Linked DNA regions of Caenorhabditis elegans. The protein of the gene in region 2 interacts with the protein of the main gene of each other region in a pairwise test. Each region holds a gene or a part of one and is shown on either strand. Other genes may lie near its edges.

What was found.
Region 1: the proteins of cyn-4 (region 2) and mep-1 interact in binary tests that used the Caenorhabditis elegans proteins (3 or more experiments, as listed by UniProt).

The regions. Positions count from the first base shown.
Region 1 is NC_003282.8:11,522,957-11,539,211, forward strand, and holds mep-1 (MOG interacting and ectopic P-granules protein 1), read left to right. Parts: upstream 1-1,685; 5' UTR 1,686-1,686; coding exon 1,687-1,809; intron 1,810-1,855; coding exon 1,856-2,198; intron 2,199-2,246; coding exon 2,247-3,189; intron 3,190-3,233; coding exon 3,234-3,730; intron 3,731-3,784; coding exon 3,785-4,077; intron 4,078-4,148; coding exon 4,149-4,562; 3' UTR 4,563-4,998; downstream 4,999-16,255. Other genes in the region: thum-3 (THUMP domain-containing protein), read left to right, coding at 5,100-5,165, 5,212-5,561, 5,769-5,925, 6,481-6,735, 7,172-7,278, 7,325-7,452, 7,502-7,614; M04B2.7 (uncharacterized protein), read right to left, coding at 7,786-7,875, 7,922-8,056, 8,826-8,921, 8,970-9,079, 9,160-9,352, 10,846-10,911. UniProt on the Caenorhabditis elegans protein: Has a broad role in development, specifically in the genetic pathway SynMuvB that negatively regulates specification of the vulval cell fate. Required for fem-3 3'-UTR-mediated repression in the regulation of the sperm/oocyte switch.
Region 2 is NC_003280.10:10,866,026-10,880,908, forward strand, and holds cyn-4 (Peptidyl-prolyl cis-trans isomerase 4), read right to left. Parts: upstream 6,587-14,883; 5' UTR 6,582-6,586; coding exon 6,503-6,581; intron 6,448-6,502; coding exon 6,327-6,447; intron 6,281-6,326; coding exon 5,494-6,280; intron 5,438-5,493; coding exon 5,059-5,437; intron 5,010-5,058; coding exon 4,804-5,009; 3' UTR 4,754-4,803; downstream 1-4,753. Other genes in the region: gmps-1 (putative GMP synthase [glutamine-hydrolyzing]), read right to left, coding at 66-584, 703-763, 2,313-2,366; cap-2 (F-actin-capping protein subunit beta), read left to right, coding at 3,206-3,208, 3,257-3,374, 3,424-3,517, 3,566-3,679, 3,732-3,882, 3,935-4,039, 4,085-4,210, 4,289-4,390; copz-1 (putative coatomer subunit zeta), read left to right, coding at 6,887-6,904, 6,968-7,039, 7,098-7,185, 7,236-7,461, 7,516-7,666; orc-2 (Origin recognition complex subunit 2), read left to right, coding at 7,909-8,084, 8,719-9,288, 9,344-9,443, 10,203-10,459, 10,997-11,071, 11,175-11,289. UniProt on the Caenorhabditis elegans protein: May catalyze the cis-trans isomerization of proline imidic peptide bonds in oligopeptides thereby assisting the folding of proteins. May also function as a chaperone, playing a role in intracellular transport of proteins.

The DNA.
Region 1 (16,255 bases), on a different chromosome or scaffold from region 2:
ATTTGTAGTCCGAGTTTTTCCACCTGCTGATTCTAGTGTTATAGCTTTTATATGACGTTTCATCCATCTGTTTCGACAATACAGTAACCCGTCGAGAATGAATATTCGGTTCTCTATTTAGCTGCAATTGAATCTTGAAAACACAAAAATTTCAAATTGAGCGAATGTGTGGCTGAGAACCAACGTTCACTCCCTTGCTATCGAAACTGCACCTGTTGCGATTTCGTGGCGAGACCCGAGGAAATACTCAATTAATAAATACAACGGTGTCAATCCCACATTGACTGATCTTGCAAATATCTTTCTTCATTGTGTCACTTTTTTTCAGAAATGCAGTTTTTCCATTAGTTTATAGTGCCCAGCGAGTAGTATATCCTCAGAAATGTTGATCCTCATGATTATAAGGTCATTATCGTTTCAAAACATGAATAGTCATAACTTTTCTCTCACAAACTTTTCGAATGTATCCTAGAACTGCTGAATCTCACAGAAACCTAAATTACGAAATCAGGTTCTAATTTTTATCAAAAATTTACAAACCTACGAGAATTCGATTTAACTTGAGAATGAAGAAAGACGCCAACTTCAATTGAAATGCACCGAATTTAGTTCAGGTTACTATCATTTGTATTCTAGATGCAAAGGAATTCACACTTCCAGCTGATATAGCGCTGATCCTAACACGATCCTTTCAACATCTTAGATTTTCGTTTAATGTTTAATCGGAATTTATATTTAAGGCCTGTAGAAATTTCCTAGAAAACGCTATAGAAATATTTAGCTGATTCTCAAGTTTTAGGAACGGGCGTCTTCCTGGTAGAAGATAGTTCGCAGCCCATAAAGACAGCACCCGGCCTAACCGACAATGGCGGTTATGAATTTTTAGACCATTTAAGGTTATGATGGCGAGACCACAACAACCCGTCGCCACGCACGTCACGCTCACAAAACACTCATTCATGCGCTCACGGAACGCTCACACACTCATGACATACACACATCATTTCGCCTCACACACCGCGCCGTCGCCATCCGCACCGCCCGGGTGGGACGTGTTCAAACTTTTCGGTTTTCGTAATTAATAGTGAGCCCCGGTTTATTCGCTTTGAGAATCAGTATAATGGATATATCAGATTGTGTAATTAGGTTGCGTGCTTGAACTTTTAAAATTAACTGTTTTAAATTTATCTGCCTTTATCGTTACAGTAAATCATTTTGATGAACTTTTCGGATGAATCATAATGAAGTACGCAGCGCTCTAACAAAATGTGTTTGTAAATTCCAATTGCTACAAGTTGCCCGGCTTATTTTTTGGTGATTGAAGCATGATTCTGTTGACGCTCCCGACGCGGAATACCAGGACGGACCGATGAGAGAGTACTGCCAGTGAAGAGACGCATGCGAGCAGGACGAGTGCTGCTCACCCTTCTTCTCAGCGTCGGCGGCTGCGACCAGCGGCCGAGGAAGGGGAGGAGAGAGGCCGATTTGGCTGCGTACCACGTTTGATACTCAGTCACTTACCACAGCTGGTTCTCTTGTGCGTTCAAATCTGGCTTGCCGCGCGCGCGCATTTTATTCCTACCAGTTTGAATCTCCCACCTCTCCGACTGTAACTGTCCTAATTTGCTTCCTTCTCATCACTCTCTCTTTGCCTATTTCTCACTATCTAGACTCTATTTTTCCAGAATGGTCACCGCCGACGAGACGGTACTCGCCACAACGACCAACACCACTTCCATGTCTGTGGAACCAACGGATCCGAGAAGCGCTGGTGAATCGTCCTCAGATTCGGAGCCAGACACAATTGAGGTGAGGAAAAGTTTTGGGAATTTAAATCTGAATAAAACGTTTTCAGCAGCTGAAGGCAGAACAGCGCGAAGTGATGGCCGACGCGGCGAATGGTTCCGAAGTCAACGGAAATCAAGAGAACGGAAAAGAGGAAGCGGCATCTGCAGACGTGGAAGTGATCGAGATAGATGACACCGAAGAGTCTACGGATCCCTCACCTGATGGATCTGATGAAAACGGTGATGCTGCATCTACATCGGTTCCAATCGAAGAGGAAGCGCGTAAAAAGGATGAGGGGGCTTCCGAAGTGACTGTGGCATCATCTGAGATTGAACAAGACGATGATGGCGATGTTATGGAAATCACTGAGGAGCCGAACGGAAAGTCGGAGGATACTGCCAACGGAACAGGTGTGTTTTATAATTTTACCAAGTTTAATTTTAACTTTCTATTTTCAGTTACTGAGGAGGTGCTAGATGAAGAGGAGCCAGAACCTTCCGTAAACGGAACAACTGAGATCGCTACAGAGAAAGAGCCAGAAGATTCTTCAATGCCTGTCGAACAGAATGGGAAGGGTGTGAAGCGGCCTGTCGAATGCATCGAACTCGACGACGACGATGATGACGAGATTCAGGAAATTTCTACCCCTGCCCCAGCTAAAAAAGCTAAAATTGATGATGTCAAGGCGACAAGCGTTCCAGAAGAGGACAACAATGAGCAGGCGCAGAAGAGATTGCTCGACAAGCTGGAAGAGTATGTGAAGGAGCAGAAGGATCAACCATCCAGCAAAAGCCGAAAAGTTCTGGACACTCTTCTCGGAGCAATCAATGCGCAAGTTCAAAAGGAGCCTCTGTCGGTTCGGAAGCTGATCCTGGACAAAGTTCTCGTTCTCCCAAACACAATATCATTCCCACCAAGTCAAGTTTGCGACTTATTGATTGAGCACGATCCCGAAATGCCTTTGACGAAGGTTATCAACAGGATGTTTGGAGAAGAAAGACCAAAGTTGAGTGATTCCGAGAAACGAGAGAGAGCTCAGCTGAAACAACATAATCCTGTTCCAAATATGACAAAACTGCTCGTGGACATTGGACAGGATCTCGTTCAAGAAGCTACCTATTGTGATATAGTTCACGCGAAGAATCTTCCAGAGGTGCCAAAAAATCTTGAAACCTATAAGCAAGTCGCTGCGCAGTTGAAACCAGTTTGGGAGACATTGAAACGCAAAAATGAGCCGTACAAGTTGAAAATGCATCGATGCGACGTCTGTGGATTCCAGACGGAATCAAAGCTGGTTATGAGCACTCACAAGGAGAATTTGCACTTCACAGGATCCAAATTCCAGTGCACCATGTGTAAAGAGACGGACACGAGTGAGCAAAGAATGAAGGATCACTACTTGTAAGTTTTTTTTTTTTCATCTTTCAATATTCATTTAATTACAGCGAAACTCATCTTGTTATTGCAAAATCGGAAGAGAAGGAGTCCAAGTATCCATGTGCAATCTGCGAAGAAGACTTCAATTTCAAAGGTGTCCGTGAGCAGCATTACAAGCAGTGCAAGAAGGACTACATTCGCATTCGAAACATCATGATGCCGAAGCAAGACGATCATCTCTATATCAACAGATGGCTCTGGGAGAGGCCCCAATTGGATCCCAGCATTCTTCAACAGCAGCAACAAGCTGCTCTTCAGCAAGCTCAACAAAAGAAGCAACAGCAACTTCTGCATCAACAGCAAGCAGCACAAGCTGCAGCCGCTGCGCAACTCTTACGGAAGCAACAATTACAACAGCAACAACAACAGCAACAGGCTCGTCTTCGTGAGCAACAGCAAGCGGCCCAATTCCGGCAAGTGGCTCAACTGCTGCAACAACAATCAGCGCAGGCTCAACGTGCACAGCAGAATCAAGGAAATGTGAATCATAACACTCTGATTGCAGGTAATAGCTAAACATATTTTAAATAAGTATTTTGTATAATTATTTATATTTCAGCAATGCAAGCGTCGTTGCGTAGAGGTGGTCAACAAGGAAATTCGCTGGCAGTTTCTCAACTTCTCCAAAAGCAAATGGCAGCTTTGAAGTCGCAACAAGGAGCTCAACAACTTCAGGCTGCGGTGAACTCCATGAGAAGCCAGAACAGTCAAAAGACGCCAACACACAGAAGTTCGAAACTTGTTACTACGCCGTCTCATGCTACTGTTGGCTCTTCTTCAGCTCCCACGTTTGTATGCGAAATTTGTGATGCGTCAGTGCAGGAAAAGGAGAAGTATCTACAGCATCTTCAGGTAATTTTAAGAAACGTTTCTATTTCAATTTCAAAACCGATTATTAAATATCTTAAACATCACATTTTCAGACTACTCATAAGCAGATGGTTGGAAAAGTGCTGCAGGACATGTCGCAAGGAGCTCCACTGGCATGTTCTCGATGCCGTGACAGATTCTGGACTTATGAAGGGTTGGAGCGGCACTTGGTGATGTCGCATGGTCTCGTCACTGCTGATCTGCTCCTCAAAGCGCAAAAGAAGGAAGACGGAGGTCGATGCAAGACATGCGGCAAGAACTATGCGTTCAACATGCTTCAACACTTGGTAGCTGATCATCAAGTGAAGTTGTGCTCGGCTGAAATCATGTACTCGTGCGATGTGTGCGCGTTCAAATGCTCGAGTTATCAGACTCTGGAAGCCCATCTCACTTCAAATCACCCAAAAGGAGATAAGAAGACATCAACACCAGCAAAAAAAGATGATTGTATTACTCTGGATGATTAATAGGAAAACGAATGGCTTATCCCGTTCTACGAATGAGTGCTGGAAACATTCTTCACAATGATCTCAATTATTTCTCTTATTCTTTACATTCAATCATTTTAAATCACCAGTTCTCCCACTTTCATTGATATACACATTCTATTGCGGGTTCCGGAACCGAAATCAATCAGTACTTTACTTTATTTCCCCAATTTTTCTCTTCATGATATCTGGTTTATTCTCGCATCTTCCCCTACCTTCAAAACTCCCTATTTTTTTTTCAAAACCTAACTACCCCACAATTATCATGTAAAATCAAATTGCAATTCCCCATAAGACAGATCAGTATACACTTTCACTTCATACGTCTGTTGTTCTCCCCCATCTCATACTTTTTTTACCATTTGTCCAGTTAAGATTTTTGGAAGATATCTATCATATAAATATTATCACCTTTACAAACCATTCTTTTTGAAACTATTTTCAGAAATAAGATTCAGATTTTCTCATAATATTTGGAGGAATCTATTTCAACAGATACGAAAGATATTCAGACAAATGACAGACTCCGTTGAAATCTGTGCTGCTGTCATCACCGGTTTTGAAAAAGTTGCAGCAAAAGAGGTAAATCCTGAAAACTAGATAAAATATCTTACTCGAGTTCCTTCAGATTTCAAAATTATTTTCGCCTAAAAAATGCCATCCAGGACGTGGAAATGTAAGATTTTCAATAGATCTGGAACGTGTAAACGAGACTCTGCAACTTCGATCAATCGATAATCTTTATATGGTTTTTTATGAAGAAACAATTGAAAAGCTGTCTGAAATGCAAAAAGAAGATGCATTGAAAACTATTCAATCGCAAATTTCATTTTGTAACTGGAAATTGGCAATTGAAGCTTATCAATTGGCACGTGGAAACGCGATTAACGGAGGAAGTGAAAAGATTTTGAAACAGATTCAACAATTTAAAAAAGATCGAATATATAGTGAAGTTACGGACGATTCACCCAAGTTTAGGTAATTTTTGAAATCAATATCAAAAATCCTTATTAAAATTTTCAAAAAAAATTAAAAATTCGAAATTTTATTGTGGTTTTAAACTGAAAAAATTTGGTACATCTCACAAAAATTACAATTCAAAATTTTAGTTTTGAAATAAAATTTCAATTATTTTTTTTCCTAATAATTTTTATTTTTCAAAAGTTATGATGACTTTTTTTTCAGAGTAACATGCAAACGATGTGGAGAGAAAGAGATTCACAAATTCAGTTCAATGGATGCTGCTTCGAAGTTTGGAGCTGAAATTAATAATGCTTTTGGTTGGAAATGTAGTGTCAAAGAGTTCGATATAGAAGTAGTATTAAGGATTGATCGGAATAATGTAAGATCGGTGTACCTGCAATTTTACAAAATGAGATAGTGTTCTCCCAATCAATGGTGGAATTTTTCGATTTTTTTCAGTGAAAATCGAAAAACGAAAATTTTTGATTTTTCGATTTTCAAAAACCAAAAAAAAAATTCAGAAAATCAACCATAAAATATGATTTTTTTTAAAATCTAATATATTGATATTTAGATAAGAAAAAACATAAAAATTTTCTAAAAAGAGGAATAATGACCAAAATATTAAGATAATTTTTGAAAATCGAAAAAACGATAAAATACATTTTTTAATTTTTCGATATTTGAAAAATCGAAAAATTTTCGCACCCTTGCTCCCAATATCTCTCATTAAAATTTAGGAATTTGCTTTATCTGAAAATAGCTAGCATTTTAGTTGGAAAAAATTTTCAGATAAATCAAATTTTTTAAATACAGTATTCTATCAAGAACTTTTAATGAAAAAAATTGGGAAAATATTCCACGCTGGCTCATTTTGTAGAATTTCTGGTCAGCTGTTTTCTTTGAATTTCTTCTAATTCATTCATATTTTCAGATGACAGTAATGATGGCTCTGAACGAAGAATCTCTATTCAAACGTAATATCTGTGCGTATGGACCAACTACAATGAGATCTACAATGTGTCATTGCATGCTTCAATTAGCTGATATAAAACCAGGAGATATTATTGTCGATGCAATGTGTGGAGGTGGCTCTATTCCGATTGAAGGGGCAATTTCATGGAAAAATTCATTATTTTTGGGTGGAGATAATCATGAGATGGCAATGAGCAGATGTCTACAGAATTGGGTAAGAAAAAACGAAAATTTGAATTACCGCGGGTTCGTCTCGAAACTCCGCCCATTTCCGTGTTTTTATCATTTTCGGCGTAAATTATTCGTTTCGTCTCGCATTTGGCGTTCGGCAATTTTTTGTCGACAAATTCAGCAAATTGCCGATTTGCCGTTTTCCGAACATCAATTTGCCGAAAGTCTTTAGAGGGATAAAACTGTGCCTTTTTAAAACATTTCCTGTTAAAATTGAAATTCCATAATTTCACAAAAAATGTGCAAAACCATAGTTTCCCAAAATTTTTCGGTAGATTGCCGGTTTGCCGATTTGCCGGAAAAATAGTTGTTTTTTTAAATTAGAAGCAAAACGAAGAATTTGTGTCGAAATTATTTCAAAAATGAGTAGATTAGCCACAATTGAAAATTTGCCATTTTTAAATAATAAATATTTTAAGTCGGCGAATTCATCGAGCTCCCGATCAAACTGCGACTTTCTCACTTGGGATGCTACAAATCTTCCACTACGCGATAATTCAATCGATGCACTTGTCACGGATCTACCGTAATCATTTCAACGATTTTTCCACTTAAAAACATTTATATTTCAGATTTGGCAAGAAGATAGGAAGTACCACAGATAACAGGTTACTGTACCCGAGGCTTCTCGCAGAATGGAAACGAGTTTTAAGGAAAGGTGGACGATTAGTCTTGATGACTCATGATAAACGGAGTTTAGGTATTGTGAAAAAACTTTAAAAACCAGAATAATTATTTAATATTTGTAGAAAACTCATTCCTAAAAGATCGGTCTTCATGGCAAACTGACGCGTCTCATGTTGTCAACGTTGGTGGATTATCATGTCTTTGTATCTGCATGATAAATAGAAAATCTGATTAGATTTCAAATTTTTAACATGCTTGTTTTGTTTATAAAATTCAATGAATAAATCAAAAATTCATTGGCTGGTTTCACATAAAAGGCACAAAATTTAAAAGTGAACATGATCAAATAGAAGACACCGGTTTGAAAAGAGAAATGGCGAAGATGGATGAGAGGAATCACGAAAATCTAAACTCGATGAATGAAGTGCAATGATTTTTTATTGTTATTATTATTGATTTTTTCGATTGTTGGTAGTTGAGCAAAATGAAATAATACCTATAAAAAATTGTTCAAATATATTTTTATTTGATTTAATACTTACTTCACTTGCATTCACTGCTTTCAGTACATCACTGTTACATCGAACTGATTTTGCTTTCGGTGGAATTGGTTGAAAGAATATTGAACTTTGAGTGGGAACGCAAACTGCACGAGTTATTCGATCACATTCGGATTTCTGAAAAAAAAAATGTTTTCATACAAATAATTTTTATCTGAAACTGAGGTAGCTACCTCATGTTGTCAACGTTGGTGGATTATCATCCACCGACTTCCTCTAGAGCCTGAAGCACTAATTTTGAATTCAATCCGTCACTTTCAAATTTATTTAAATTTTTAGGCATTTATTTAAATTTTTAGGCAATTTGGGTCAAACTGTCTAATCTTTCGTAAAAATCAAAAATGAGCGGTGCAAATCTCTTGTCAGTAAATCTACAAATCTGACTTTCAAACTACAGAATTAAGAGACATTTGAGACAAATTTTATTAGAAATTATGTGTCATTTCGTTAGAAAGCATTTAAAAGCCATGAAATACAATTTAAAACAAAATGTTTTTTTTTAAAATTTCTATTGTAGTTTTGCCAATTTCTGAAACGCAGTTTTAAAGGCGCATGGATTTATTCAGATGGGTCTCGCCGCGAGAACAAGTTTCTGATAGCGGGTTACGGTCTCTTTTTTACTTAGCTTTTATCTTCTGTAACATAGTGAACAAAATACTGGAGCGGGCACTAAAATTAACTAAAAAGTGCTACCATGTACTTTTTCTCACGGCGAGACCCACTCGAACAAAACTGTGGGCCTTTAAGAACGTGTTTCATAAAATTACAAATTCATGATATTGAGTTTTCATCTTAATAGTTGGAATATCTTATTGAAATTTGCAGTTTTGTAGCTTTTCTGAGAGAGCCTACCGCCCACCTCCTTAAAATACCAAAAAATCAATACCTCTACATCTTTGCAATGTTGTATTAGATAAGGTTTTCCAGAAGCTAAACATGGCGATGATTCTACAATTTCATAAAATGCATTTAATTCGGCTAGCTGAAAATTTGGAATATAAATACAAGATACAACTACAGTAATCCTTACTTGTTTTTTATTATGTTTCCACCTTCGAAATCTATAGACACAGAATATAGTTGTTATCAATAATCCAACTAATATGACAGGAAGCAATGCAATAAGGGAATAATCTGAAACTGAATTCAATTATATAAATTATAGTTTTAATTTAAAAAAAAGTGGTTTTCTTTGCGTCTCTGTATCTCTCTTACAGTACCTGAAACCACGTGAAGCCGACCATCGTTGACAACGAAATCGCGATGCGATGATTGAAATTTTCGAACGTCGAAAAAGTCCATCAGTGTAATTCGACGATTTGTAGAGTTTGAATGATGGGAAGTAGAATTGGAAGAGGACAGAAGAGATGATACTGTCGGCTCATCGCCCTCTTCCGGTTGACCGTTGACTTTCTACAGAAATTTCAGAATAAGAGGTCGGGAAGAGGATTTGTGGTAAGTTTTGAACAATTGATATAAGAGTTTTAGAAGTAATTAAAAGTGTCTAACTTCAGAACTATATCAGATTTTCAGTCAGAAGTTTTATGGCGAATATAAAAGTTTAAGTATTGTTGCATTCTTGAAACAAAAACTATATTTAAAAATGGAATATCACCAGTTTAATCCTAAAACGATTAACTTATCAAAAATGCTTAGAATTTCTTCATTTACAGCCAAAAAGTGAAAGTTATATTACTCCACCATTCAATAATTATAATCAAAATATAAAGATTTGGACAATTTACCAAACAATTTTGACTGAAAGTTTCAAAAATATCAAAACAATTCTAAAGTGTTTTGTTTTTGACATATTTCAAGTATGGTTTTGCAGACCTTTTTAAATTTACAACGGCTCTAAATTATCGTAATTTTGTGAAAACGAGAAACATCAGCTTAAAAGTACACAAGTATTTTCTAAGTGGGCTTCACCACCATCTTCGAAATTCAGATTACGTACATACATAGTCACATACTCAACTCCAAACTAAAAAAACTAAATTACCTCACTACGTTTCCTCGGAATATTCCGATTCATTTTAGTTGAAGCAGGTGAGAAATCAAAAGAAATAATAATTATTTTTTCAGAATGTGTCCATTTTGGTTTCAGTCTCTTTATGTTTGAAAAAGAAGAGAAAATGCACCTAGGGACACGGAAAGATATCATATTTCTAACCAAATAGGACCACAGAAAACCAAAAGAAGGAGGTCGCTTTGTATGAAATTGGAGTGAAAAAATGCTCTATGGAATATAAGTTTTTAAAACAGGTGTTGTCAATTTTGATTTGTTTGGAAGAAAAAAACCATTAAATAATATCGAATAAAAATTTTGGATTTTACGAATTGGTAAAACTGCAACCCGCAAATACTCAAAGCTGCTCAGTACCAAACGTAGGAGAACTAATCAGCTTAAAATGAAATGTCATAAGCAAATGGCATAAGTCGTGTAAATTAACTTTCTATCCATGTAAAACCAATACAATAAAATTGGAAATATAATTTTAAAATTTTAAGATCACTTGTTTATTTAGTTAAAAATTTCAACAATTAGATGAACCAAAGATGCGAAAAAGCATTAAAACCATTATATGGGCGGAGTCTGTTGAATTTATGTAGAAATAGAAATGTCTTTTTTTTCAATGGCAAGCTATTAAAAAGTATTGGAAAAAATTGAAAAATACTCCTGTTATGTTGAAAGTTGAAAAAAATTAAAGCAGGCACGACAACTTGGATTTTTTAAAACGTGGTGAGCATGTTCATGAGTCAACGGAAATTGATTTCACTTCCAGAAAGAAACATTGGGCTTGATACATTTTCAAAAAAACCCAGAAATTTAAAGTTTTTAAAAGTTTCTCTGGATTTCGTTAAGCGACATTTTGACTTTTTAAAATTTAAATTATAACACTCACTTCATCGATAAAGTTTTCAATAGAATATGGTTGATAAATCATAAAGGAATTGGGAAAAGTGTTCATTATTGAAATAACTATTTTTCCATTTTGTTTTGCCCATCGGCAATAACTTATTATTTAGAGATGAAAAGTTCGTAGAGAGACGCAGAAGAAAAAATGAAATTCAAAGTCCCTATGGGTAATTATTCTTGGGAAAAGCGAAGCTAAAAAGAAGGAAAACGATGATAATGAAGTCTGTGTAGAGACCGGGGGGCACCGCCACCAACCACCCGAACACCAAAAATTGTATAGGAAAACGGAGGAGTTTGACGTCAGATTTGTGTTGTGTCTCCCGTGTGTACAAGGTGGGAATGAGGATATAAGAATAGAATAGAGTGGGATGGAAAAAAAGGAAAGGAGAATTTTGATATCAAAAATAGAAGTAGTTGGCGAATGCGTTTTTACAAAGAAAAATAGCCATCTTTCGGCTCCTTTGGTTCCGGAAAAATGTGGTGGAAAACGGACGATTTATGGGTTCTTTTGAATGGCATTCAAGAAAAGGAAAAAAGGGTGAATAAGAGAATAAGAGAAGGAAATGAAACGATGCAATGAGAAGTCAACTAGAAATTTATGGATCAGGACTTGAAATCTAATTATCTAGTTTGATCAACAGTTGACAAGAATTGGAGACTCTTTTTTTGAGCTTTTCAGAATTAAATACAGAAAGTATAGCACAGTTTTTTGATAGTTTGGGATAAAAAACAAAAATCGTCTTCGATTTTTGACCTAAAAACAGCAGTTGAAATTGGTGAAAAAAACTTTGGATTTATTTTGAATTGAGCTGAGCTAAAAACGATAGTACTGTAGAAACCAAAAATTAAAAAATATTTCAAAATAGATATTTTTTATAAACTCGAAAAGTGTTCAAAGTACAGAAATTGTGTTTTTTGGATGTTTTAATATCGAAGAGCCGTAGAAAAAGTATTAGTTTTAATCAAGACACCAAAAAATGCCCTGCTCTGTTTGGCATCACCACAGTTTTTTCTATTGAAAATGCTTTTAAACGTTCAAGTGAAACGATTAACAGCTTCCAAGCTTGAAACGAAATAATGACCACAATGACCGCTTTTGCACACACTAGAGTATGGGGTATCATTAGGAAAAGAAGAGCATTCTATTGAAAGTTCCGTTAGCAGGCATACCTATTTATAAATAGACAGCACGTTTTTCTCGCTCATTTGTTTGCAACTTTCCCTTTAATTTTGATATGCTAATTTCTTATTCGGTTAATACGGAAAAAAGGCCATCGGAGCCATATATACATTTAAAAAAATATTGCAAAGCTCTCGGACCAATCGGAATTTTTATGCAATACTGATTTTCCAGCTGCAAACATTACCAGTGAAATTTTTGATTCACTTTTTTTTGAAATAAACAAGTGGAAATATCACGTCTACCAAAACGTCTACCAAAACACAAAAAATATTTAAAAAATCTTACCATAAAACATTTCCAGCAAGTTTCGAATATAGCGCCACCCAGGACCATTTCTTTTTGTTCAAAATGTCATATGTTATTCTGTTTTCTATAGGCTTAAAGAAGTTATTGGACGCGGGAAAATAGAGAGTATATGGGGGAAGTAAGACTCTGAATGTGTCGTCGAAACAAAAGCCCTAACGAATGTCTTGGCACTATCGAAAGCTGTCTCGCGTTCTTTTTTGACTTGGTCCGTCCCCTTCCCTACCCAAAAAAAGAGAATGCAATTTAGCAATTAATCTTTTTCATTCTAGTTGATTGAAAGGGCTCTCAAAAAAGATTGAGTACTCTGTGGAAAATACGGAAATTTCAATTTATCGATGAAAGTTTAACTCATTTAAAAATGTTGAAATCTCATTTTTTAAATTTCCACAGTAATCTCTCTAATTAACTCTCAAAAAAGAACAAAAGATATGCGATATGTTGAAATTGAAATTTTTCACTTGCAGAATTGAGAAAAACTTGACTGACGTTGTGCAACAACATTTTTTTAAATGCCTACGTGCCTGCCTTTCGCTTGCTTTCTGTTGTTCAACTAACCTGGTTAAATTGATCGGTGTTGTCAAAAATCGTCTTTATTTAAAACTTTTATGGCAAAAATTAAAAGTTCGAAACAAGAAATTAGTTCAGTTTCTAGGAAGGAAAAATAATAAAATAAGAAAAAAGATCACTATCTCATATTTCATTCATCTATTCTTCAACTTTTTGTTGTTTCTCCGAAGAGTTCGATACGAGCACACATAAATAAAAAATAATGAAAAAAAAAAGAAGAAAGATGAATTAATTTTTTGCATTTGCGGGTGCCCGACCCCTTATTTGAGTTCAGTGAGAAATTTACAAATGGATAAAAAACGAGAGAAGTTTGATTGGGGGAAAACACCTCTCGGAGCAGGAAGCAGAACAAAATTGAGTTGGATGGAAGCAGAAGGGGAACGAACGGATACAAATTTAGACAAGGAACATAAATTTTCAGAAGAACAGAGAATAACATTCAGTGCTTTCAGTTTTCCTGTGCTATATTTTAACATCCGTTTTTTTCATAAAATTCGTAATTCAATGATGTCATAAACTTTGTTAAATTTTGGAACAGTTAAATTTTGAGATGCTATAATTGTGAGTGTACCCGGAAAGAATATTCCCACAATTGACAATTTCAACCTACAAAAGTCTGCTGGAGATTCAGTTTTTATTAGCATGAAATTTCACGAATTTTTAAATTTTTAAAAAGAAGCATCCGGCTCGTAAGTTTACTGTATCTTTTTGTAACGACTTTACTATTTCTTGAACAAAGGTGATATTGAATAATTTAGATTCAACTTGAAAAAAAACTTTAGGAAAAAAGTTTTAAATAAATTATCCTACAAATCCGCAAGGATTCAGGTCAAATGTTTTAAAAACCAATTTTTAATTGTCAGATTCATTTTTAGAATGTTTCTAAAAAATGATAAAACTTACAACAACTTTGCTGGTAACCATGATTTTAGTAGAGAATATGAAGAATTTTGTGTAAAATAAAACTGACGTATCCTTTTCGTCCACTCAAATAAAATAGCCAAGAGATTTCGAGTATTTTTGAAAATAGGTCCGAAAAAGAAGAAAGAGACGGAGAGCAACAACTTTAACAAGTGTTTTTTTCCTTTTCGGCTCTCGCTTCATTAGTTTAGGAGTGAGCTTGCCACCGAGCTTTTTCTGGGCCAAAAAACTCCAATTTCTCTTTTAAAGAGATTGTAGATTTCCTTATATATGTGAAAATGATATTTAAAGTCATAATAGGAAACAAATGAAAAACGGATAAAAATTCTCTTTTTTGAATTGAACACAAAAAGGAGTGGGTGGGGGAAAGAATTGTGAAATGAATTTTGAAAACAGATTCTCAGAATTGGGAGCGGGAAATAGGCAAAACTGACTGCCAGACAACTATAATTATTTTTACCTTTTTCCACTCAAAATTTGTTGTCTGTAATTTAAAACACAGATCAACGCATCCGTTATATTTTCAGGATTTTAGAATATTTCAGAAAGCCACAGGCTTCATAAATTTCGAACTATTTATATCACTTTTTCAAAAAAAAAAAGTGACACTCGAAAATGCAACGAGCGTACATGTATATTCAAAAAAAAAATTTCAAAAATAAATTGCAAACACAGTTAATGTAAGTTTACTTGCGAATCTAGCGAATTTTGTTTCATGTTTTAAAGACTTCCCGTAGCACCTTCCCTCGCCTTTCGCCTGGAAAACGCCTCGAGTGAAGAGGCGTGTGAGAGGCGCCCTTACAACGCCTCAGTCAGGTGGATTTTTCAGTTTTTTTTTTTGGGAAATTAAGTTGAACCATGTTAATAATCAAACTTTTTTTCTGAAAAATTCACACCTATTTTTTCGAGAAAATTGCCAAAATGAACAAACAAAAAACTCAATAATGAAGAAAGAAACAACTATTCTGAAAACCAAACATCATGTTGTTCACAAGCTTTTCAAAAAAGAACGAATGATCCATTCTCAATTGGATTGAAAAATTTAATAACACAGATCTTTTTAGAGATAAAACGAACAAAATTGTTTTCTCTATTGTTCCGGAAAGAGTAAAAACTTTGCTAAAAAGTGAGTAAGTGTTTAAAATGTCGTGTCCCGAATGACGACTAATTAGACATTTTTCCCTGTTTCTCCTGCTCAATTTTTTCTTTTTTTGAAAACTGGTGAAGCGAAGAACGGAATAACAAATCGACCTCGTCTTTTTCTTTTTTTCGTTATTTTATTTTATTGTTGTTCATTTGTTTTTCTGAGCAATCCTTATTTTCTTTTTTTCTTTCTGATGTTCTCGGAAAGAAAAATGGGAAATTGGATGATGTTCTCAATAATTTAATTCAGAAAACAAACAACGCATGGCCTTTTGTAATCAAATTGAATTTCAGTTGGAAAAAGGACAACTTGATCAACAAATATTCAAAGTTAAAAATAAGGTCGTATTATAAGTTCGTTTCCATTATAGACAGACATTTCTTAACGCCTGCCAATGTGCCTACCTACGAATTTTATTAGAACCTATAGTTTTCTTGCGGAGGAGAAGGTACAAAAGTTGCAAATTCATGTTTGAACGATTGCACAAAAGTCAATTAATGACGCTCTAGCGTTTTACGCAGGCCAAATAATTAAAACATCAGACACACAAATTCAGAAATTAGGCGATAGGCATAAGGTGTCCCTAACATGGGAATCACACTATAAAATTAAAAATATTAGGAAAATTGTCTGTGAAAAAGTTTGGAATTTCAAGGGAAATAATTATCTCAAAAAATTTCTTATGAAATTGAAAAATTGGAGATATGTAGAACAAATCGATTTTTGAAATTGAACAAAAACTCCTATGTTAGAATTTTTCCAGTCTGTGCAAAATGTAAGACGTCAGAGCCGTGCAGCAATTCATTTGTCACATACACACACCAATACGCTCTCATTCCTTCTCAACACACACACGAAAATAGTGCTTAAGGACATGATTAAAGAGTCATTGGAAGAAATAAGGTCCCATCTCTCCTCTAAAAGCAGAAAAAGCACTCGATTACCAATTCAGATGACGATAGGATATAAACAAACAAAACGAATTCTTGAATTCATTTTGTAGTAGAAACGAGGAACGTTTTTTTTTTTGGAAGTAAGGATTAGGAATTTAAAGTCGGAAACTGTTTTAGAAAATGTTCAATGAGAAGATACGATATTTCGGACAAGTTTGAAAATCCGGTGAACATAATCAACCGACGAGGGTACAAAAAATTCAATTCAAAATTAATTAGAACAATTAAGATTTAAAATATAAAATGCCATGAAACCCAGATCTCTCGTTAATCCTAATTTGAGCTAAGGAATTTGATATATTATTGTCGCTTTCAGTTTCAG
Region 2 (14,883 bases):
ATTATTATTTAATTTTGTTTTTTTTTGTTTTAAAAAAATGTGAATAAAATTTTCAATAAACTCACCAGCAACATGATGGCCACTTTTGGCCATAACTTTGAAGTCTGGAGCCACCGTAGCCTCTGATACACTGTCTCCGTGAGTTAGCAAGACAGTTTCTGTTTTGTGAAGTCCATTGAACAAATGAACGCTCGTATCGACTTGAATTTCACATGCTCCGTCTTCTCTGATATGCTCTCTTGTTACAGTTCCTCCATTGAGCTTATTCATCAACTGAAATCCGTAACAAATTCCAAGAACTGGCAATCCACAAGTGAAGATTTCTGGATCGATTGACGGGGCTTCTGGTTCGAATACCGAGTTGGGACCACCAGAAATGATGATTCCCTTGAATCCGCCAAGCTCGATGAGTGTACGAGCTGTCGTGTTGAGTGGAAACATCTCTGATTGTACGAGAAGCTCGCGAACACGTCGATCAATAACTTTTCCATATTGTGCTCCAAAGTCGAGGATGGCAATGCGTTCGCCACTTGAAACCTTCTCAACTGGAAGATTCTCGACAAGGGTGACGTGACTTCCTGAAGCTTTTCAACATATTAGTTTTTGTCTTAATTATGAAAATGTGAGTGAATACAAAAATCTAATACAAAAAAAAAGTTATTTTATTCTAAAATCACATTTTCATTGAAATTATCTACTTACCGTTCATATTGGCACTATCAAATCGATCTTCTGGCGCCTTCTTCGGTGGTGGAGCTTTGTTCTGAAATATTATAATTCTGTATGGTATGTATTTTCGGCTTTTTAGAGCAAAATTTGAGAGCTTGTTAAACGTGGAGCCTGCTGACATGCAGCTGCCAAGGCAGATGAAATGAGAGTGAAAATGGCTGAACTGTTAGGAGATAGTGAGAGACGCAGGGCATAGAGTGCAAAATAAGTTGGAAAGAGCAGCTTTTTGACTAAAACTGGCCTGAAAAGTCCGAAAAAAGTAGCCAAACATTGCTAAAATCTAAAATTACTCCAACTTCTCCTAAATTATTATCCTGAATTGCATCTTTTGGTCATTTATCTCTAATTAATTCATTGATTTAGGCACATTTTAAGTAGATAGGCATCAAAATTGGACGCCTACCGACTTAAAATGTGCCTAAATCAACCAAAATATGCAATAAAAGGTGATAATTTCATAAAAACAGTATTCCTCAATGCTTTGAGTGGCTCAAAACCGAGCATCGGGCGGCTTCAAGAGTAGGAAGAAGATGACAGCAAAAAACAAAGAAGAGATAGTTGAAAAGTTCTCTCAGCACAGAAACTGAAATCAAAATCAAACAATGTGAGAGAGAGCGAGAGAGTGGTGAGACGTAGAGATTGAAAAAAAAAGAGAGAAACAAAACCAAAGGGAACCTTTTGAATGACGACAAGAGGAAAGGAGAGAGCAGAACCAGTGCTGTAACAGAGAAAAAGAAATAATGACGAAAAAGATAAAAGTCAGGAGAGAGAGAGAGAGAAATGGTGGAAAATCATATTAAAGATAATATTTTAAAAAAGTGCTGCTGTACTTGGAAAAATTGCAAAATTTTTCAACTAGACCCTAGTTTCCTAGTTTTCCAGCATTTTAGTGTTCGGCTGGGAGAATATAACTACGATTTCGTCGAGGAGAATTTTCTACCAAGAAAATATATTTTCCAGTGAAAAACGCTTATCCCATGAGAAAAACCAAGGAATTCTCACTGAAAATTGTGATAAATAAGACAAAAACTGCCAACAAATATTAAAATATACTCGGTTTTTAGACGAAAACTATCAAGAAACGGCGCAGTAATCCTGAAAATCAGATAGAAAGTTCTAGAAAAGCCGGTATAATCTGAACTCCACGTCAATTAGGTCACCTAGTTTCGATATATCACTGGATTAACGTGAACATTTTTATTTATTTAAAAAGAAAACCCTTCAGGTTACAGGAAAATTAGCTTTTTTTCGCGAAAAAACATGTAATTTGAGCGCCGAAACATATGGTGGAACCCCCCTTGAACAGAAAAGTCGGCATGTGGCTTTAGTGACAACTGATCTTTTGTCTTCAGAGGAAGATATTGTGATTCTAGAGAACTTTGAACTATTTGGAGTCGGAAAAAACAGAATGTAGTTGCGGAGAATGCAATAAAATTGCAATTATTTCTTTTCTTTTATAGTGACGATTTCAGGGAAAATTGTAAAAGCCCTTTGCAGCGATAAAATAATTAAATTCAACGAAAATTCAAAAAAGAAATCCATTAGCAAAGCGGCAAGATCAAAAGAAAAGTACAAGTTCTGACCGTGGAATGTTGACTGTCCTCGTTGATGTCCAACATTGAACTCGATCTTTTCATAGTATGCTCACTGACTTTCGAGACGGCCTTTGTTCTTTTTGCACGCTGAAGCTAGGTTATAATGATTTGAAGTCAATGGAAAGTGGAATTTTTTGGCAATTTATAATGAAAACCTCCTTAAAACGCACGTTTAAACGTTGAAAATGCTTTTTTTCGTTTTTTAACGTTGAAAACCAAATCGGGAGCCAATTTACAGAAATGTGCGCGAATTTTCACCCAGTTTTTCAAAATTTTCACATTTAAATACTCACTTCAGATGGAAGGTTGCGGCAGTGACGTTTACTCTGACGCGCTCCAATTTTGACTCGTTTTGGCTGCAATTACTGAAATAACAAAATTTAGTGGATTCGGTGTTTTCTCGGAGATGAAGCGATGAGAATGTACAGAACACGGATAAACTTGCGATGAAAATTTCATGTCAATTAATTTAAAATTAATTTTTTCGGTTTATTAACATAAAAATTGACGGAAAAAACTTAAATTTAAAAGCTCGAAGAAAAAAACAAAAATTTGAAGAACTCTGGCGAAACGCCAAAAGCTCGCGGGTCTCGCCGCGATTTGCCGACGAGAGTGACTATGGGTACGGTGGAGGGACGAGAGAGTGAGAGAAACGGAGTGTAAAATCAATGAAGTGGTCGCTCCGTTTCGCAACTTTCCTGCTTTCTAATGGCTTTTAAAATATATTTTTGCGAAATTTAATCTTATTTGTGAACTAAAAAATCATTACCCAATCGTTTAGAGTCTTTTTATGTTTTTAATAGGTTGTAACGACTTAAAATCTGACATAAAAGTTTATTGTTTCAGGGAGCACACCCACATCCGGCTCGAAACTATCAAAAATGGTATTTTAATAAATATTTTAAAAACAATTTATAATAAATATTTACCAGGGAGAACAACAGCTCGATTGTGCCCTCGACTTGATGCGAAGACTTCCTCCACAACACTGCGACAAGAATTTGACGGACCTCATCGATCTGTGCCCTCATCTTGTTGATGATCTTCTCAGTATGTTTCCTTTTTAACTAATTTAAAAAAATTCGCTTGATGGTTTTAGGCACTATCGATCAACCGCTGAAAATCGCCGCGGACCGTGAGACCGGCAAACAGTATTTGCTTTGTGACTACAATCGAGATGGCGATAGCTACAGGTATGAGTCATTTTATTTGAAATCTATCGATTTTTTCTGATAATTCAGATCACCATGGAGTAATACCTATGATCCACCACTCGAGGATGGACAATTGCCATCGGAAAAGCGCAGAAAAATGGAAATCGAGGCAAATGCCGCTTTTGAGTCATACCGTGATTTGTAAGTTGACAGAAAAATCATATATTTGCTCATAAATAATAATAATTTCCAGATACTTCGAGGGAGGCGTCTCATCAGTTTACTTCTGGGACTTGGATAATGGAGGTTTCGCCGGAATTGTGCTCATCAAGAAAGAGGGAGACGGAGCCAAAAATATAACAGGATGTTGGGATTCTATTCACGTTATTGAGATCACGGAAAGAGTTGGTTCAAAAACTGTTGAAGAGTTTTTTTTTTTAATTTATAATTTTCCAGGCACGCCAGGCTCACTACAAGCTCACCTCCACTATCATGCTGTGGCTGCAGACAAACAAAAGCTCCAGCGGTGTGATGAACCTCGGTGGCTCCCTTACAAGACAGGTTTTGGTTTCGAGTTGTGAATATATTTAAAAAGAAATATTATAGCATGAGATGGATGCACCAATCAACGATCAGAACACACACTTGGCTAATATGGGACGAATGATTGAGGATCAGGAGTCGAAAATGCGTCTGACGATCAATGAGATATACTTTGGAAAGACGAAGAAGGTAAGCAAAATGCAAATTTATTATATGAAAAAAGTTTCATTTTTAAAAAGTACAATTTTCGAAAAAAATATTTTCCAGGTGATGTCGGATCTCCGTTCAACAGAGAAGCAGAGTGAGCTCGAGAAGCAAGATGAGATCGTTCGCGAGTTGAACAACGCCATGGCTAACCGCGGAAACTGAGTGATCTATCTACATTTGCAGCTCAAAATCTCTCATTTTAATGCTTTATTTGCGAGTTTTGTATATTTATCTACCATAATACCAGCTTGTTTCTTCTTTTAAAACCTTTTTTCATTGCCTTTTCTCGAGTGTAAACTTTTTTTCTAGAATTATTAAAATCTCTTTTCCCACAATTTCTCCTCGCTCCAAAGTGTATGTGCTATGGCTTTTCCACAATTTATTACCAAAATGCCTTGATGTTCCTTCCGAGAAGAGCTTGAGCTTTTCCTGGACCATTTTCGTTCTAGGTGCTCGTTCGACTGTTTTGTATTTTGCAATGTAAATTATCCTCTTTAAGATTACTTTTCATTTCAATTATATTTTCGATGAAAGTATTTTATTCCTTAAATTTAAAAAAAAAGAGAGGGTCTTCATCACCACTTTGAGAAATCTCCAAGGCCTGCTCTTGCAAATTTAGTTTTCTTTGCGGCCTCCAAGGGTACATCTTCCATTTTTCCTTGTCGTTTATTCACAGCTGCGGCCGACTTCATGTACTTGCCGACTCCAGTTCCAACTGCTTCTGGTTTTGTTGCAGTTTCTTTAGCTTTTTTATTTGCTAATGAAGCTGCGTCCTTAGAAGCTGAAAATAGATATCATTAGTTTTAAAATTAGTAATAGAATTAAGAAACTTTTCTTCAAAATCTCTGCTCTCTCAGCTTGAACTTCTTTCTCAGCTTCTTCAAATGGATCCACAAATACTTCAGCTCTCATAATAACAACTGAAACCATCGGAACATCAGTTCCCTCTTCAGTTTCCAACTTTTCAATCGTCGTTAGTGTATCCTGTCCTCCAACAAGTCTCCCAAAAATTGTGTGCTTTCTGTCCAAATACTTGCACGGCCGGAATGTAATGAAGAATTGTGATCCGTTGGTGTTAGAGCCCTTATTAGCCATCGAGAGCACACCTCGAGCATCATGGGAGAAACCGGAGATGAATTCATCTGAGAATGGCTTATCCCAAATTGATTCTCCACCATGTCCTGTACCAGTTGGGTCGCCTCCTTGCAGCTGAAATTTTTAATTATTTTTTGTTATAACTTTAACTATTTTTATAATAAATTTACCATAAAGTTTTTAATTAACCGATGAAATTTGGTGTTATTATAATATCCATTCGAACAATGTGTGATGAAGTTTTCACAGGCCTTCGGAACTTTCGGCGCGAATAATTCCAGATTCAATGGCCCAAAATTTGTAACAAGCCGCACAAAAGCATTTTTCTTAACTCGGCTGTACCGAACTGTATCATTATCCAAAACAGCTGCTTTATTGCTTGTAACTGGAGCCATTACAGTGGATGTGAATCCAGCTGCGACTTTTCCTTGACTATAATGTGCTGCATTGATCTCATCGGCAGTTTCATCAGTTTCTGTGGAGCTCTTCTTTGGGACATATTCCTTATCCAATTGATCAAGAACTGATTTGCAAGCATTATTCATTCGTCGAATGTAGAATTTTGGATCTTTCATTGCATCTTTTTCTTTTTTAATCTCTTCTGACGTCTTTAAATCAAGCTTCACGTGTAGAAACTGCTCCATATTGAATTTTTCCAAATGATTTGGGTCTTGAAGATCAATTATATCAGCTCTTGTGAACGGAACATCGGTTAGAAGATCCTTGAGATGATTTCTTTTTAAATTCAATTCTTGCACGGCTTCATGAGAATAGACGTTTCCGGAAGTAGCGATGGCCAGAATATGACTGTGGTCCGTGAATGTTCTGAATGTAACTGGGCATCGGAACTTTCCATCTTCTCCTTTATCGAATTTCAAGTGGATTAGATCCTTGGCAACCAACGGTTTTCCTGTACACGGGTTTTTGCCATGCTTCTTCAAGTAAGGAACGATAGCACTGAAAATTTTTTAATAAAAAGTAAAAAAAATAAACAGAAATTTACGTTAAATCGAAAATTTCTCCTGATCTTGCGCAAACTGGGTCTTCAAACGGTAGAAGTGACAGCGAGCAATGGTTGATGGGTAACCTTTTGAACTGTGCTCTTTGGAGTCTTGTTCCAGTATCTGAAATATGAAATTAAATCTTGTTTTTATTTATAACTCGTGTTTAAATAAAAACCATCTTTATGTCCTCCAATCGATTTCCATTCAGAAGTGGTCAGATAGAGTTTATCTTTCTGATGTTGCTTTTTTCCCATTTTATCTGAAAATAATACAAATAAATACTAGTTACATTTATGTAGTTATTAAGCTTAATTAAAATGCCGATTGTTAAAAATTGCGAAAACAAATCGGCTCGTAAATCTACACGAAAACCTAGGCCGGCGGCCGCCAGCCACCTCGGGTCTCGCCACGATCACATGTCGATTTACGCGCTCAATTTCATTGACTATTGACGTGGATTATCTTGTTTCTCAATGTTTTTCCTCCATTTAAATTGTTTTTCAGAGATAAATTTTTAATTTTATAGGTAATATTAGCAAAAGAGAGGATTTGCAATAAGATGGCAGACTTTGACACTGTAAGTTTCATTTGCAGCTTATTATTGAAGTTTTTTTTTTTTAACTAAAAAGCGAAATTTCAGAATCCAACTTCTCTGTACAGTATCAAAGGAATTGTGATTCTTGATCAGGATGGAAACCGTGTTCTTGCCAAGGTTTGTCGTTTATTTCACAATTACCATACAAAAAACTCGAAAAAATATCGATTTTCAGTACTACGACCGTACAACCTTTGGAACTGTCAAGGAGCAAAAAGCTTTCGAGAAAAGTCTCTTCTCGAAAACTTCCCGCAACACTTCAGGTTTGGCTGATTTTTTTTTGATGAAAACAATAAAAATTAAACATTTTAAGCCGATATCCTGCTTCTCGACGGAGTGACTTGCTTGTACCGCTCGAACGTTGATCTGTACTTCTACGTGCTCGGATCGACCCGCGAGAATGAGCTTTTCCTCGACGCAACTCTCACCTGTCTCTACGATGCTGTGTCTGTCGTTCTTCGCAAAAACGTCGAGAAGAAGGCTCTCATCGATTCCATGGACACTATCATGCTGATTATTGACGAAATCTGTGATGAAGGGTTATTTTTTTTTATTTCTAAAAGTATTCAACTGATTTAAAATAATTATTACAGAATTATCATGGAAACTGACGCCCAGGCTGTCGTCCAAAGAACCGCTCTCAAATCCGACGAAGTCTCATTCTCCGATCAATCCGTATCACAAATCGGCTTCTCGTTCATGAAATCTGCCAACGAGCAGTTCAAATGGTCTCTTCTCAAGTAAATGGAATTCTATAAATTATTTAATTTAAAATGTGATATTTATAATCTCTCCAATACTCTTTTGTGAATTAAAATGAATAAACCTCGGATAAAATGGTGTTTTCATTGTAAAAATTGTTGATTTTGTGCTGTTTTTGTTGAGTTTTTGGTTCGTTTTCTTAACGCCTAACTATATTTTCAGTTTAAAGCTTAACATTTCCTGCATGAATCTAAATATCTATTTTTCAATTTTAATTTCAGAAAATGCCACGGCCAAAAATTTTGAAACGAGCAACTGTCCAGCCCAGTGCCGCCGTTCCTGTGAAAAAATCGACTCCAGAAAAAGAAGGATCCAGACAGAAAAAGACGAATGGAAAAGAGAATGCTTCTAGAAATTTGCAATCAAATTTAGAAGAAGATTTGGAACAACTGGGCTTCGAGTATGTATCTATTATCCAGATGAATTCTTGAGCAAAACCGGGTCTCGACACGGCAATTTTTGTTGAAAACAAAACGGGGGTGCGTCTATAAGGAGTGCTGTATTATCACAATATGTGTTCTTAAAGGCGCACAGATCTATTCAGGCGGGTCTCTGCGCGGAAAACAGTATCGTAGTATTTTCTTTTTCTTTAAATTTTTCCGGTTTTTTAATAGAATAATAGAAGGAGAACTAAATACAAAAAACGGAGTAATTTCTTGAAAAATGAAAGTAAAAAACTACCATAAAATTTAAAAGTTTTTCGCGCGCCGAGACTCATCTGAATGATTCGGTGCGCCTTTAATAATGGTAGGCCAAAATTTCGTTGCGGAATTTCCATCGATTTTTCATTGTTTTTTGTTAAAATTTTTTTTAAATAAACAAAAAACTAGGATAATTAAAAGCGCATGAATTTTAACGAACAATCGATAAAAATTCCACAGTTTGAAACTACAGTACTCTTTAAAGGCGCACACCCGTTTGTAATTCAAAAAAAATTGTCGTGCCGAGACCGGGAATTTTGGCGCAAAAATTAGAAAATCTTCCATCTAGCTAAAAATAAGTACATTTTCGAAGCAAATCAATCATTTTTCCAGGGATGAAACTGTATCAATGGCTCAATCAGCAATCGAAAATTACTTTATGCAAGGAAAATCGGCGTCAGAACGAATGAATAATGCGAAATCCCGTCGTGGAAGACGTGCTGGAAATGGAAATACTGAAGAAATTGAGGAAGACGATGAGATCAGTAATGCTATCACTGATTTCACAAAATGTGATCTCCCTGGACTTCGAAATTATATTACCAAAAAAGATAACACGGAATTCGAAAAACGATTGGAGCATCTCGCGGATAATGATTTCGGAAAATGGAAGCTTTACCTAGCAGCTGGATTTAATATTCTTTTGCACGGTGTCGGTTCGAAGCGTGATGTTCTCACAGAATTTGAGAATGAGCTATCCGATTATACATATATGAGAGTGGATGCACGGAAAGATGGGCTCAATGTAAAAGTTCTTCTTGGAGCTATCAATGAGAATATGAAGCTGAATTGTAATGTGAAGAGAGGCCAATCTACGATTAGTTGGGCTCGATCTATTCGCAGAAAAATGAATAGCCAACAGTTGATTCTTATCATTGATAATATTGAAGCTCCTGATTGGAGGTGAGGGGAATTCGCTTTTATTTATGTATAAAAAATTAATTTTAATTAATTTCAGAAGTGATCAAGAAGCATTTTGCGAACTTCTTGAGAATCGGGATTCGGTGAAATTGATTGCTACAGTTGATCACATTTACTCGACGTTCATCTGGAATTCGGTGGGTATCTAAAATTTTAATTTTCGAAAAACAGAAAATTATATTTTTTTGTTATTTAAAATTATTTTTTTCTGTAGAAATTTATATATTTTAGTATGTTTTTTGTTCATAAATATAATAAAAATTTGACAGAGAGAAAAATAAGAGAAAATAAGAAAATCTTAAAAAAATCGAATTAATATTTAATCTGAAAACGGCAAAAAATCGAAAAAAAAACAATTTTGAAAAACAGTCAAATTTATGGCAAAAAAATTTTAAAAAAATCGCTACAGTTGATGGCATTTACTCGAATTATAACCCACTAAAAACATTAAATTTTTGAAAATAACGATTTTTAGATTTTTTTTTAGATTTTCCGAAAAATAGCTTTCAAATAAAATAAAATATATTGTAAAAATGTTTAGTCAATTTTCTTTTGAAATTCTCAATTTTTCCGGAAAAATCAAACAAATTTTTTCTACTTTAAAAAAAAACAAGAAAAATTAGAAAAAACAAACATTCTTAAAAAACATTTTTATTAATGCCAAAAATATGGTTCTAAAATGAAAAATATTTATTATAAACTTTTTTGAAATAATTTTGAATTAAAAACTTTTTATTCATAAAGGCATGGTATAATTTTAGAAATGTAACAAAAAAAATTGTAATTTTTCTATTCTAAATGTGTTTTTATAATTTGTATTTGAATATTCCAGAGGTTCAAAAATATTTTAAAAATTAGAAAAGTTATTTCCAGTTATTTATCTTTTTTTATTTCAGCGTCAACTATCATCACTCTCATTCGTTCACATCACAATCAACACCTTCGAAATTCCACTTCAAGAATTAATGACTGGAGATTCTCGTCTTCTTGGTCTTGATGCTCGTTCGAATCAATCCTCTCATACAATGTCATCGCTTGATGTGTTCTGGAAATCTCTTGCCGTCAATTCACAAAAATTATTCCGTCTCTTTTTCCAAATGTACTTTGACACCAAGAAGCCTGTCAAATTCTGGGATTTGTTCAATGCGGCAAAGTGAGTGGAAAAAATAAATTTTTTCGATTTTTCAGTTTTCTTAAAGCAAAAAATTCAAAACTGGGAATATTTGAAAAAAAAATTCGATTTTTCCCCTTTTTTAAGCATAACCAAAAAACGGAAACTTTGTTTAAAAAACCGAAAAAATCATAAATAATAGCAACCTTTAAAAAACTTTGATTTTTAGAGTTTTTGAGCAAAAAAAACTGAAAAACTAATTATTTTTGATGTTTTTGGTTTTGGGCAGAGCGGGAAATTTTTTTAATTGAAAATACCGACAAAAAAATCTAATTTTTTTCGATTTTTCAATTTTTTAAAGGCCAAACCGAAAAACCTGCAAGCTTGCACAAAGGATGCCCCGAAATATTTTTCGATTTTCGGTTTTTTTTGTGCACAACCAAAAAATTTGAAAAAAAAACCCAAAAACACTAATTTTCGTTCAAAAAAACCGAAAAAAATCTGAAAAAACTTCAAAATTGGTAATTTTTTGAAATAATTTTTTTTGTTTTTCGATTTAAAAAATCCTAAAAATTCCAGAGATGATTTCATTGCTTCAACTGACGCTGCTCTTCGAACCCAACTTGTCGAATTCAAGGATCATCGGGTTTTGAAGTGAGTATCCCCCCCCCCCCCCCAAATAGATAAATTCTCATCTTCCAACCAGATGTCGTTTGCTTATTCAAATATTTCAATTTCAATTCCAAAATTTCTCCAGGTGGACCCGTGGTGATGACGGAAACGATCAGCTGTCGGGCATTGTCGAATTACGATTAGTGACCGAATTTCTCGAATCGAAGAACATGCCGTTAGACGAAAAGAAAGACGAGTAGCTGCTGCTACTGCTGGAGGACCTCAAAAATGAACACACTCTGCCTCCTTTTGACTCAATGTATTTACCTTCAATTGTTTTATTTGTTGACTCTGCGCCCCCCGTCCGTCCGTCGATGCTTCTTCATCCCATTTTTTTTTACTTCAATTGAAACCTCAATCTTCACTTACTCTCATCTGAACGCTCATATTTAAGGCAATAATTTTCATTTTCAAATATATCAATTGAAACCTTTATCTACCGTAATACCAATTTTGTGTACCTTTTCAAAAATCTCATTTCCCCCTCGGTTTTTTCTTCACGATTTCTCAATTATTTTCAGTTTCTCACTATCAGTTTCACATTCCCATATTTGAATGAATCTCATTTTCCAAGTTTTCCCTCTCTCACCATCAAAAACCAAATCCTCTCCCTAGAGTTTCATGGATGTAGTAATATGATACTCTTTCCTGCTCGCCTTCCCCCCAAAAATGGGCTCACAGGTGCCTTTGTTCTAGCTTTTTTAATTGGAAAATTCGGATTTTCCTCGCACATTCTCCCCTAACTTTTTTGATAGAAGCTTTTTGAAATGACAAAATTTTTGTGTGTCTTGGAAGTTTTTGTGTCACTTTTTTCTGTCAAAAATGTCTCCATAGAAGCTCGCAGAGATTAACGATGAGCACTTCCGGCCCACTAGGCTCAGAAGAGCAGTATATCATGTTCCTTTTCTCTTTTTTTTTGCTTGCTGACTCAAGTCAATCAGTATTTAGGCAACAAGGACGAGAAGGACTTTGAATATTTGAATGCGATGAGCATTTTTAAACTTTTTTTTGTTTTTTTTTCATATTATCGCTCTCAGGAACAAGAGAATTTCGAACTCTACAGGAACTGGATCTCAATATTATGGGGACGCAGAACGCGCTCCACGGCCAATTGGAAATGCCCCGCCCCGGAACCATGGGTCTCGTTAGGTGTTTGGCGAGAAAACCGGGAATTCAAACTTTTCCTAATAGTCTCGTTTATTTTTTATTATATTTTCCGTTGTTTCAATGGTTTTTATGCCAATATTGATATAATAAAATTCAAAAACTTCATATGAATTTTTAAAACATCAAGACCCATATAAAAATTACTAAAACCAATGTAAAACATATTTAAAAAATCGTCGAAAAATGATTTAAACATTCGAATTTCGAATTCCCGGTTTTCCTAATATTACCTAACGAGACCCATCCTACTGGGGCGGATCGTTCCGTTGGCCTTAGAGCGCGTTTACGCGTAGACATCAAAAATGGTCAAGATCAAAAATTGTCAGAGAACCCTCTATATAAGTGTCAGTTTTTGTGTCATTCTTCTATGAATTTTGAATTTCTTTGCACTTGTACTTTTCAACTTTCTCTCTTCGTTTTGGCAGAAACTGAAAAAAAAAACTTTTTTCTACAAAGTTTCGTACTTTAATAAAGCTTTCAAATATTTGTATTAACCCACGTGTGGGCGTTCGAAATTGCTCTAAAAGTTCTAAATTGTACTTGCTTATTAAAAATGAGTTTGGACAAAAAATCCCCGCTGGCGCTGCTCCACCTTTACATGAGCACGTGAGTTCCTGTTCGACCCCTCATCATATTTTAATCCAAAACCGTCACGCGCAAATGGTATAAAAGAGCCATGAATCTATCAGGATGGGTCTTGAAGCGAAAAGTTCCGAAAGGCTTTCTCAATCTAGTCGGAAGTTGAAGCAAATTTGTTATAGTCTTATTATTTTCTAAATTCAATTTTTCGTGGTGAGACCCTTCAATTCCCCGATTGTCGACCAAAAGTTCAATTTTTACAGTGTTATGTCTCTTTTAACAGTCCTGACAATTATTTTTTTCTGATTTTTGGTTCACAGAAACCGGAAGCCCAGGCCTTCGCTAATAGTCCAAAAACACGCGCTGAAAAAGAAATCTCCGATCTTTAAGCTTCCAAATCCAAAAATTCCTCTCTCCCATAACGGGATTCCATCAAAAATGCATTCATCTATTCATTATCTGAAGCTTCCAAAAGTGCGAGTTATCCTTCTCGCCTTCTTTTGATTCCATATTGCTGATGACACAGACTCATACACACACAAAAGACATTTGAATAATGTGTGATTTCCTATTTAATTCCATCGTGGTCCCCCTTCATGCCCTCATCTCTTCGCACCGCCTGAATTCAATCAGAATTTGAAGCTTTCGCCCCGCCAAATCAAAATTAAACCATGTTTTGAAGAGGAGCCGTTTATGACTTTTGGGAAATTGGACAAAGGGGCGGAGCTCCAAGAGAATAAGGCAATGAAGAAGAAGCACAATGGAGATTCCTCACTCTTTATTCTATTACTTTTTCACGCCTCATTATGCACCTTTTTAATAGCGATTTTTCTCGAACAAACACACTATCAAGGTTTTTTTCCGGTCATAGTTTTCCTCTTTTCATGTTTTGTCCCTTGTCTGCCTGAAAGCCGGTCTATTTTGTGATTTTTGGCTAAAAGTTTGGTGTTTGTGCTTGTGTTTGGCATTGGGCCAAGGCTTAGAAGTAGGCTTAGGCTCAGGCTTAGGCTAAGGCGTAGGCTTAGACTTAATATTTGGCTTAGGATTAGGATTAGGTTTAGGTTTAGGCTAAGGCTCAGGCTTAGGCTTAGTCTTAGGCTTATGCTCAGGCTTCTGCTCAGGCTTAGTCTTAGACTTAGGCTAGTCTTTTTTGTCCCTTGTCTGCCTGAAGGCCGGTATGAATATTTTGCAACAGTTTCTAGCGCAACAAAGTTATAAATAGCTATAAACTAATCCATGAAAATTTTATTCGAAAATTGCAAAATTCCTAATCTAGATATCCATTCCCACAGCTGGTCGGTCAGCTAGCGTCCCAAATGACAAATGACCAAAGCTTCTCGATTCATGCAAAAATTTGGGTAAAAAGAAAAAGGAGAAGAAGAAAGCGTGAGCCTCTCGAAAAACGTCGACAAGCACAACGCCACACAAAATGAAATTTGGCGCAGCTCGAATGGAGAATTTTTAGACTTTTATGTTCCATTTGTTCCGTTAACCATTTGAGAGATTTGCTGATATAGAGATTGAAAAGGTGGAATGTACCTTTAAAATAATTGGGCGGTTACTGTAGTTTTATGCTTTGTGTGGATGTAGAGTAGAGACAGTGGGAAAGAATTTTTTTAAAAATTATTTTCAAGATGGTTGCTAGAAAATATTGAAGGAAAAGTAGAAAAATGTAAATTAGAACAATATTGTTAAAAAAGATTTCCGAAAATTTGTCAAATTACCAAAACCTTTAGATCATCTGAAAAATGTAGGTTTTTAAATACAAGTTTGATAGTAAGATTTTCATTATTTTTAACTCAAGAAAAATCAATTTTTCGAATTTTTTCGTTTGAAAAAAGTACTAAAACTACAGTAACTGTACAGTTCAAAACGGAATTTTCAATTCAGTGGCAATTTCCAAAGTTCCAGAGAAACTTACCCTGAACTTTTTGATTTTATTAACCTTTATTGCCTCCCCCGCCACCCAGTTTATTGGCTCAATAATCTATTACGTTTCCATCTTTTTTATTTAACGATTATGCACATGCACACAGGTTTCAGCAGCA